2 linked regions of the Rattus norvegicus genome follow. The protein of the gene in region 2 interacts with the protein of the main gene of each other region in a biochemical or structural test. Links are inferred from orthologs where the notes say so. Each region holds a gene or a part of one and is shown on either strand. Other genes may lie near its edges.

The links.
Region 1: the proteins of Selp (region 2) and Cd24 form a complex in vitro, tested with the Homo sapiens proteins (2 studies listed by BioGRID and IntAct). The link is inferred for Rattus norvegicus from reciprocal best matches to the Homo sapiens genes SELP and CD24.

Annotation. Positions count from the first base shown.
Region 1 is NC_086038.1:48,654,943-48,659,342, reverse strand, and holds the start of Cd24 (signal transducer CD24 precursor), read right to left. Parts: upstream 2,867-4,400; 5' UTR 2,792-2,866; coding exon 2,723-2,791; intron 1-2,722.
Region 2 is NC_086031.1:79,008,280-79,012,398, reverse strand, and holds the start of Selp (P-selectin precursor), read right to left. Parts: upstream 2,889-4,119; 5' UTR 2,872-2,888; coding exon 2,869-2,871; intron 1-2,868. UniProt on the Homo sapiens protein: Ca(2+)-dependent receptor for myeloid cells that binds to carbohydrates on neutrophils and monocytes. Mediates the interaction of activated endothelial cells or platelets with leukocytes. The ligand recognized is sialyl-Lewis X.

The DNA.
Region 1 (4,400 bases), on a different chromosome or scaffold from region 2:
GCCTGGGTTTTATGCCTAGACTCTGTCTCAAGAAAATAAAACCTGAGCTGGAGAGATGGCTCAGAGGTTAAGAGCACTGACTGTTTTTCCAGAGGTTCTGAGTTCAAATCCCAGCAACCACATGGTGGCTCACAACCATCTATAATGAGATTTGATTCTGAAAGAAAGAAAGAAAGAAAGAAAGAAAGGAAGAAAGAAAGAAAGAAAGAAAGATTTACATGTGGTCAAGAATTGTGGCACATGTAAATCCTGACACTTCAGGAGGAGGCAGAGGCAGGCAGGTCTCTCTAAGTTCTGGTCTACCAAAAAAACCCAAAAACCAAAACAAAAAACAAACAAACAAACAAACAAAAAAACAAAACACCAACCCAGTCAGCACTACATAGTTGGATAAGTGGGGCTTATCTCAAAAACAATCAAAACCTTGTATGTGGTGGAGGGTGGGGGTCGTAGGGAATGTGTGTCTGCACACACTTTTGTCAGGTGAATGAGATCTGTGAGTTTGTGGGATCACAGCCCATCCTGGTTGTGCTGAGTCTCTGGCTTCGAACAGCCCGGGAAACATTGCCTTAAGGAAATATCTTAACATTTAAACTTAAAAGCATATATCTGCTCCTTTGAAATCTTGAAATTATAACCCTTACCAAAACCAAAAAAAATTTGTCTTAAATTGAAAAAGTGGGAACTGCCCACCTAGGGATGCCACTCAGTGGCAGAACATTTGCTAGTAAGCACAGGCTCGGAGGCTAAGAATAACAAGAATTAATTTAATTAATTAATTAATTAATTTAATCTGAATTTCAAAAAATACTGGCTCTACGGCAGTAGGATTTCGGTTAAAACATCCCCACCCCCACCCCGCACGTAAGACAGGGTTTGGTATTAAATTTCACCAGCTCATTGCCTGGTGACTGGCTAGACTCTGTGGCCGAGAACCGAGGCTTCCTCTTGTGTCCCAGCAACCTAGTGGCATATTCGCCGCTGGTTTTGCAAGCCTTGAAAAGCACAGTCCGGCGAGGCACGTGATACTCTCCTTTGTCACGGAACAAAGGCTGATCCGAGTTTTCAGCCCTCACTGAAAGGAGGGTTTGCCAGGGCTTGCTAGAGCTTCCGATTACAAGCAAGAGGGAGGGCGACGTGGCACCAAGTAAAGAATCTAGCCACAGGTACTTTCGGCCGCCCCTGGATCCCAAGATAAGCCCGCCTGTGTCTGCATTAGCTCCTTTTGTTCTCCAGCCGTAAGGCCATTAAGCAAATATTGACTAAAGAAATGTGCAAATCGTATCCAAAGTAGATTTGCGCACACCAAAATCCTGATCCAGACACTTAGACTTACTGGGGGCCTACTGTGTGTCAAGATAAGACCCTGTCCGATCAGGAAGTGGCATTCCCACAAAAAAAAAAAAAAAAAAAGGAAAACCTTAATATGCTAAGTTGTTTAAAACACGGAGCCTGTCCTATGGGTACCCGAAAGTAACCGTTCTTTATTTTTACAAAGATCTTTTACTACTGCAGGTGACAAAAAAAAAACCCTAAATAATAATAATAATAATAATAATAATAATAATAATAATAATAGTAACGGAGCCCAATGCTCAATCTGTGTCTAGAGGTCCTCTCCAACACCAACAACCAATTTTTACATGTTAATTATTAAATTGGCACTTAACAGTTCTCCACCAAGCTCCCTTGATTTGCTTAACCAACACCTCCCTCTCAACATTTCTATGGGGAAGGGAGCTGAGAAGGGAATCCGGGTGAGACCAACCAGTTTCGGGATGCTGAGCCCCTCCTAGATGGGGGTTCGGGAGGACTGAGAAAGGCCCCGGGGCACAGCCAACCCACAGAGAAGACAATGGGGTACAGTTACCCTGCCTGAGATGGGGAAGACGAAGCGCGCTCCAAGCTCTTGGGCTGCTCTCCCAGGTGAGCCCGGAGCCTGGATCTCTAGGGTCCGAAAATCTGGCGCGCCCAACTTTTCAGGGGCGAAGCCCGAGGGACATCCCTGAGCGAACCGAAGGCTGTGGAAAGCCACGGTCTGCTTCTCCGAGTCCCGCCCTGGTCTCCCAGGCTCAGGTCTCATTCTGGGCGCGGCTCCTTCACCCTTTCGCTAAGGCAGCTAGAGCAGCGCCACCCATGGTGTTGGGGGGTGAGATCTGTACCCGGGACAAATCTAAGAGAGGAAACGGCTGTGGACTAGGACAAAGCCTGGCGGAGAATCGGGACACTGGAGTCCTGCCCTCCGTCTCTACAGTGCCATTGGGTCTGGGCTGAGATGGGGCCCCTAAGGTGGCCAGGGATGGAGGTGTGGGGTCGCACCGCGGGAGTTTGTGGCGTCGGGAGGTCCCTAGCTTCAGGACTGAGAACCCCCGGTGGAAGACAGAGCCACAACCAGGGATTCCTGGGCGATCTCCAAACCAGTTTGGACGGTGGAGAATGGGCGTGTGCCACGCTCCCCCGAAGGGGACCGTCCCCTCTCTTTGTGTGGTTCGCAGGGAGCTCGAAGACCCTCCGTGGGAGGGGAGGGGGGGCTCTCTCTAGGGAGTCCACTCCACGAGTTCCCCAAGTCACATAAAATTCTCTCCCTACCCCTGTGCGTGGCCGGAGGTAGGGACTTCACCCCTGCTACACACACACACACACACACACACACACACACACACACACACACACACACGCCCCCAGGACGCGGCCCCACGCCACACCGAGAGCAGGGTCTCACCTGCGTGGGTAGGAGCAGTGCCAGAAGCAGCAACCCCAGCCCTAGCCTGACCACCATCGCTCTGCCCATGTCCGCTCCGTCGGCGCGCGGCGCGACTCTCTGGATGCTCGGTGCGTGGAGATGTGCTCGGCTGGCGCGGACGCAGGCAAGGTGGGGAGCGCGGCCGGCCGGCGGGACCTTATATACCGGGACAGCCACAATAGCCGTGACGTGCGGCGCCCGCCCACCCCTGCTCTCCTCCTACCCTGCCGCCTCCCCGCTCCCCACCCCCCTGCGCCGCTCTCGCCCCCTCCCCCGCCGCCTGCTCGGAGCCCGCCCGGGTGACTTGGGATGTCCCGAGGCGGCCAGCGCGGCAGGTGGGCGGACGCCCGGGGCTGTGACCCAGCTAGGGTTTCCCGGGGCGGGCAGCGTGCACAGGCGCTGGCGACTCCCACACGGGACCCGGGGCGAGCACACGAACCACACACGCCGCCCGGCCTAAGTTTCCTTTGTTTCCCCGGCCCTGCCATCTTACCCCCCAACAGGAAAAGTCGAAGCCGCGGGCGCCGCGCAGACTGCGCGGAGCTCGGGGCTGGGTTTTCTCAAGTGCCCGCTGCAGGGGGGAACTGGGCAGGCTTGGCAGGTCCCTGGGCCGTGGCGCGTGGGGTTGGCGAGCAGACCCGGCGCCGCCTCGCGCTGTCCCTTGGCGGCTGCACCGCAGGGATCGCAGGGATCGCAGGGATCGCAGGGATCCCGGACCCCAGCCGTGAGTATGCTCGGCTGGGCGGCCGCCCCTCGCTCGGCTGCTTGCTTTGTGTTTTGAGCTGGTCTAGTGCTGCATTCAGCAGAGCGCACCCGGGCAAACCCCCCGCAGCATCCACCCGGACCTAGGGAACAGCCAACTGCGCACGGCCACGGGGCGGGACACTGAGAGGGACTGAGTTTCGGTCCAAATAATCTCCACGTTTCTGGGGACGCGCTTGTTCTGCCCAGTACTTGCTCAAGCCATTTTCCTCCATAGCTGCCGTGTAAGTCATTTTGACGAACCGATGCAAAAAGAGCAGTCATCGGTCTGTACGTTTTAATGGAATCTTTCTTTCGACCCTCTTCCTTTGTGAGAACTCAAAAGCAAATTTGAAAATTATTTAGTGGTGGAATATTTTTAAATTTTAATCACAGGGTTCTGGACCTTCCTATTTAAAGTGGTAGCCCACGTGTTTTGCGGCCCGTAAAAAGCCAAACAAAACAAACCTAGCAACGGTGGAAATTTGTTTAAATTTCAATTTTTTGCAGAACAGCCTCGTAAAAGCAGAGTTTTATGGGTGCAGGCTGACAATGGACTCCGTAGTCGTCGGTTTGTGGCTGCGTTGGCCTGAGCCTTACCGGGTCAGCCACAGCCGCTCAGTAACTTTCCACGTGTGAGATGTGCTTGGACACACAGGAATTTCTGTATAGCGCCAGTGAACTTTCCTGTCTAACAGTTACCACACTGTATAGAAAGGTCATTCTGTGCCCAGCTCCCGGCTCCTCACCGAGGGTGGCGCCTAATCCCAAGCGCCCGCCCGGGTCTTCAGAGCTTCTCCGGGACAGACTAGGGGACTTCTCCTGCTGTTGCTCCAGGTTTTGCCCTCCGATTGTTTTTCTGCCCCTCTCCTCAGTTCTCCATTCTTCCCCCTCCTTCCTCTTACTTCGTCTCCCG
Region 2 (4,119 bases):
CTGGCTGATAATAAAAACAGGGGCCCTGGAGAGTAATTGAAAAAGTAGCTTGAGGCCAGGTCTTGTATCAAATGCCAGTCAGCAACAGGGGAGCCACCTTCAGGGCCCTGAATAGAGCAGACCAGTGAAAAGATGTATCTAGCAGTGTTGTTGAGTGGAGACAAGAACCCTAGGCTACAAAAAGCAACTCTTGTTAACTGTGTCCCTGAAGGAAGTTAAAGAAGAATTGATGTGCTGGAGTCAATGGGAATGGAGAAGGGAAGGAAGATAAGAACAACGTCAGGCCATAGGACCAAGGCATATGTCACAAGGCATTGCAACATTGTAACAGTTCCGATCCTAGCGCCCCAGAGTTCCTGGATGGTAATGGTAGAGGGCCAAGATCCTAGCAGTCACCCACCCTCCCCCATCAAATAACACACAGAAAACGGCTTGTCTCTAAGTCGAGCAGATTTCAAATAAATACAAGATGCGTCCCATGATCCGACCACTCAGAATCTAAGCACTTAAGTTAGACCAGTCATGACATTATGTTAAACGAAATAGTAACATTAAAATAAAACACAGTTTTTAAAACACTACAAGATCTTAGCTGAGTTGCATCCCTGTGTTTTCTTTGCATTCGACATTGTAAAGCATCTGACTTGCTTTTCCAGCAGAGACATTAGACAAGGTAGTGGCTGTCATCATAAAAACCAGCCTCCCCGTGGGCTTTGCTCAGTACTGCCTCCTATGCCAAAAGTCACGTGTGTGTGTGTGTGTGTGTGTGTGTGTGTGTGTGTGTGTGTGTGTGTGTTTTGTTTGTTTTTTGCTTTTGGTGATGTGACTAGTAATCATTTCTGTTCAGAACTTTAAAGATGCATATTCTAAGAGCTGATTGCCAGCCTAGAACAACATGGAGCCGATAAAGTAGAAGGAACTGTAGAAACTGGAAGGCGGAGCCTAAAGTAGTTAACTGTTTACATGACATGATCCTGAGCTGTTCCTTGGCCTGCAAAAGCCTTGACAGAAATCAGGATAATGTAACTGTAAATCCCTAAGCAGGGGCCGTTCCCTGTGAGCTGGCTGAAAATGTCCCACATGATACCCCTTAACTTCATTCTCTTGGGTCCGAAGTGAAGCCGCTATCTAAATATGAAGCAGATTTCACACAGACAGACTGAGCTTCCTGAATCCTAAGAGACAAATGTGCTCGGGGAGGAAGGAATCTGAATTATTACAATCAATGCTGGGCTGGGTCCTTAACACTTCACGGCAGAGCCTAGACTACGTTCCAGATAGAGCCGAGGAACTCCTGAGTATAACACACAGGAGGGAAATCTTAAGGGTCTCCTGGAAGCCACACAAGTCCAGGAACCTTTGCACAGTTGTCTATGAAGGTCAGCTTATATGGATATTTTCATCTAGGTCAGGAACTGCAGCTTTCATCAGAATCCTGAACAATGCCACCATCTATGCCACCATGTCTTTGAACTAGAAAAGGATGCCAAAAAGAATAGAAGGAAGAGATTGATGGCTCGTTTGCTTATGTCAACCAATTCAGAAGAATGACATGCTAAAAAACACAAGGAATCCTATTTTTTTTGCCATAGTGATTGAAAGAGTGCAGGCTCAAATGTCATCCTGGGTCTCTATTTTACTAACCAGACACACACACACACACACACACACACACACACACACACACACACACACACTGGCACACTGGTGAGGGGTGATCTCTTCCCTTTAAGTACTGCAAGGGTGTGTTGCAGTGAGGTGAGAGGGAGAGGAGTGATAGAATCATGAGGTAAGCATGGCTTTCTTTTGCAGTGCTGTATAAAGGTGTCTAAAAATCAATACCCTTCTGCTACCTCCTTAAGTACAGACTAGAAGATTTCAGATTCTGAGACTATGTGAGACACTCCTAGTACATTAAAAATACACATGATAGTACCCCAACTATGCATGTTTTATCCAAAGTCACTGTCCCGAGTTCAAAATACCTGGTTATCTTAGGATCTCCCCTCAATCCCTGACCTCACTATACCTCTGGAGTTTTCTCTTTCTTAAAGCAGTAGTTAGAATTTGCTAATCACTTACACACCAGCCTCAGATATAAATGCTCTTCAGTGCAACCTTATTTAATCTTTACTATGGTGGTGTATAAGAATATTATCATTACATCCCATTTGCATATGGGGAAACTGGGTTAGTAACACGAAAGATAGACATTTAGATCAGAACCATGTGGATAGTCTGGATTGGTCCTAGAAAACTACCAGTATTTAGAGAATGGGTTAGGAAGGATGAGAGTTAGAAGCTGTTCCGTGGTAGATATGCCCCAAGGCCCTTTCTCAGCCTTCCATTCATCCCAGAGAGAAAGGCAGACTTAGCGAAGAGGTGACATCCTTGCCAAGATCTGCTCCAAGGAGTTCCTGCAAGTTCCAGTGGAAAAGCAGCCGCGGTGTAGACAGAGAATGATAGCAACATCATCAAGTTTAAAGAGTGTGGTTAAATGCCTGCCCTCTGTAAGCCACAATGGTTCTATTTGTCAAATGGAAGTTATTCAAACTTCTAAGAACTTTGGAAGAATCAAAATGATCAGCCGGCTTTTAAAAATGCTTACAAACTAACCATGATGCTGTGCACCTACAAGCCTTGGCTACCTGGGAAGCTGAGGCAGGAGGATAGTACATTTAATGAGTCAAGGTAACGAGACCCCATTTCAAAAAGAGAGGGGAAAATGCCTGCAAATTCTACCTAGGCCATTCAACACAAAGCCCCAGGGCTAATGCTGGTCCTTACTTTCTGAACCTTTCTTCTGTCTGCTTCAGCCACAAACCACTTCGACTCCTCTAATTCCGATACAGAGAAAAACAAACTTACCATGTCCTCTCCGACCCGTCTGGCTTTCTTCCCTCTGGCCAAGCCACACTTCTTATACTTTTGCTGCCTCCCCTTGGTGTCAGGCTGCCTTGCAAAACAACTTCCTATTCGCTTTCCAGAAATTTATCACGGCCTTTCCCCTGATGTTAGACTGTTGATACTGCAGAGCAGAGTTGGCAGTTTCCAAGGAGCGGCTGCCAGGGGGCCAGTAGGTCAACCCTTCCACAGGAGACTGTCTGGAGACAGGCGCAGGTGTGAATCATGCCTGGCCATCCCAGACTGAGCAAGGCAGGAACAGGACCCATGCACCCAGGGGTCAGGTTTCCTTTGATTATGATATGAGTTCCAATGTAAGGTCGTAAGGTTTGGAAGACCTGCTTTGTACTCGTCACAAGTTCCCTCTGTAAATTCCAGTTAATGGAGATGCCAAAGAATGTTTTAAGATTCCAGTAGACTTCTGAGGGGACAAGGCAGAAAATAGAAGTAAAAATAAAAAAAAAACCTAAGCAGATAGAAAAGGGAAAATCCAGGGAGCGTTTCTAACACTTGGGGACTATTGCTGGAAATGGTTTTGAAGTGATATATAGAGCAGGCATGGGCGATCTGAGAACTCTGTCTCTCACGTCAAAAGAGGAAGGATAGAAAGGTGTGGTGGCACCTGCCTGTAATCCCGGAAGTCGAGCGATGGATAGAGGAGGGTTCTGAGTTCTAGGCAAGAATGGCTAGGTAAGCAGACCCTGCCTCCGTAAAAACGGGAAGGGCTAGTATTTCTTTTCTCGTGGAGAGTGTAGCATGTGGGGCCATGCATTCTGTTAGTGCAGTAGTTAGGATTTGGTCCATACATTTAAACTTCTTCAGACCTGTTCTTACTCCGTTTGTAGTCATCTATTGGGCTAATTAATTAATAAACTAAAAACTAAATGAATTCGATTCTCTACACTACCTCCTCAATTGCTAATCAGGATGATAATGATGGGTCTTACCTCACAGAGCTTTGTGAAATTACAGAGACTGATACAAGGAGAGGGCTTGACATAAGAGCAGACACACAGTAGGTGTTCCAAAAATGTCGCTAGTCATGGCTACTTTCCTGGTGGGCAATAAAGTAAAAAAACTAAATGTTCTGTATCGAGTTGGAAAAGAAACCTCACACTTTATCCTTTTGAATTCTGGTTAACAGTGTTGGCTATTATTTTTTTTCACTCTCTCTAGGATTGTTACAGTTTCTGCACAGACATCTCAAGGATAGGT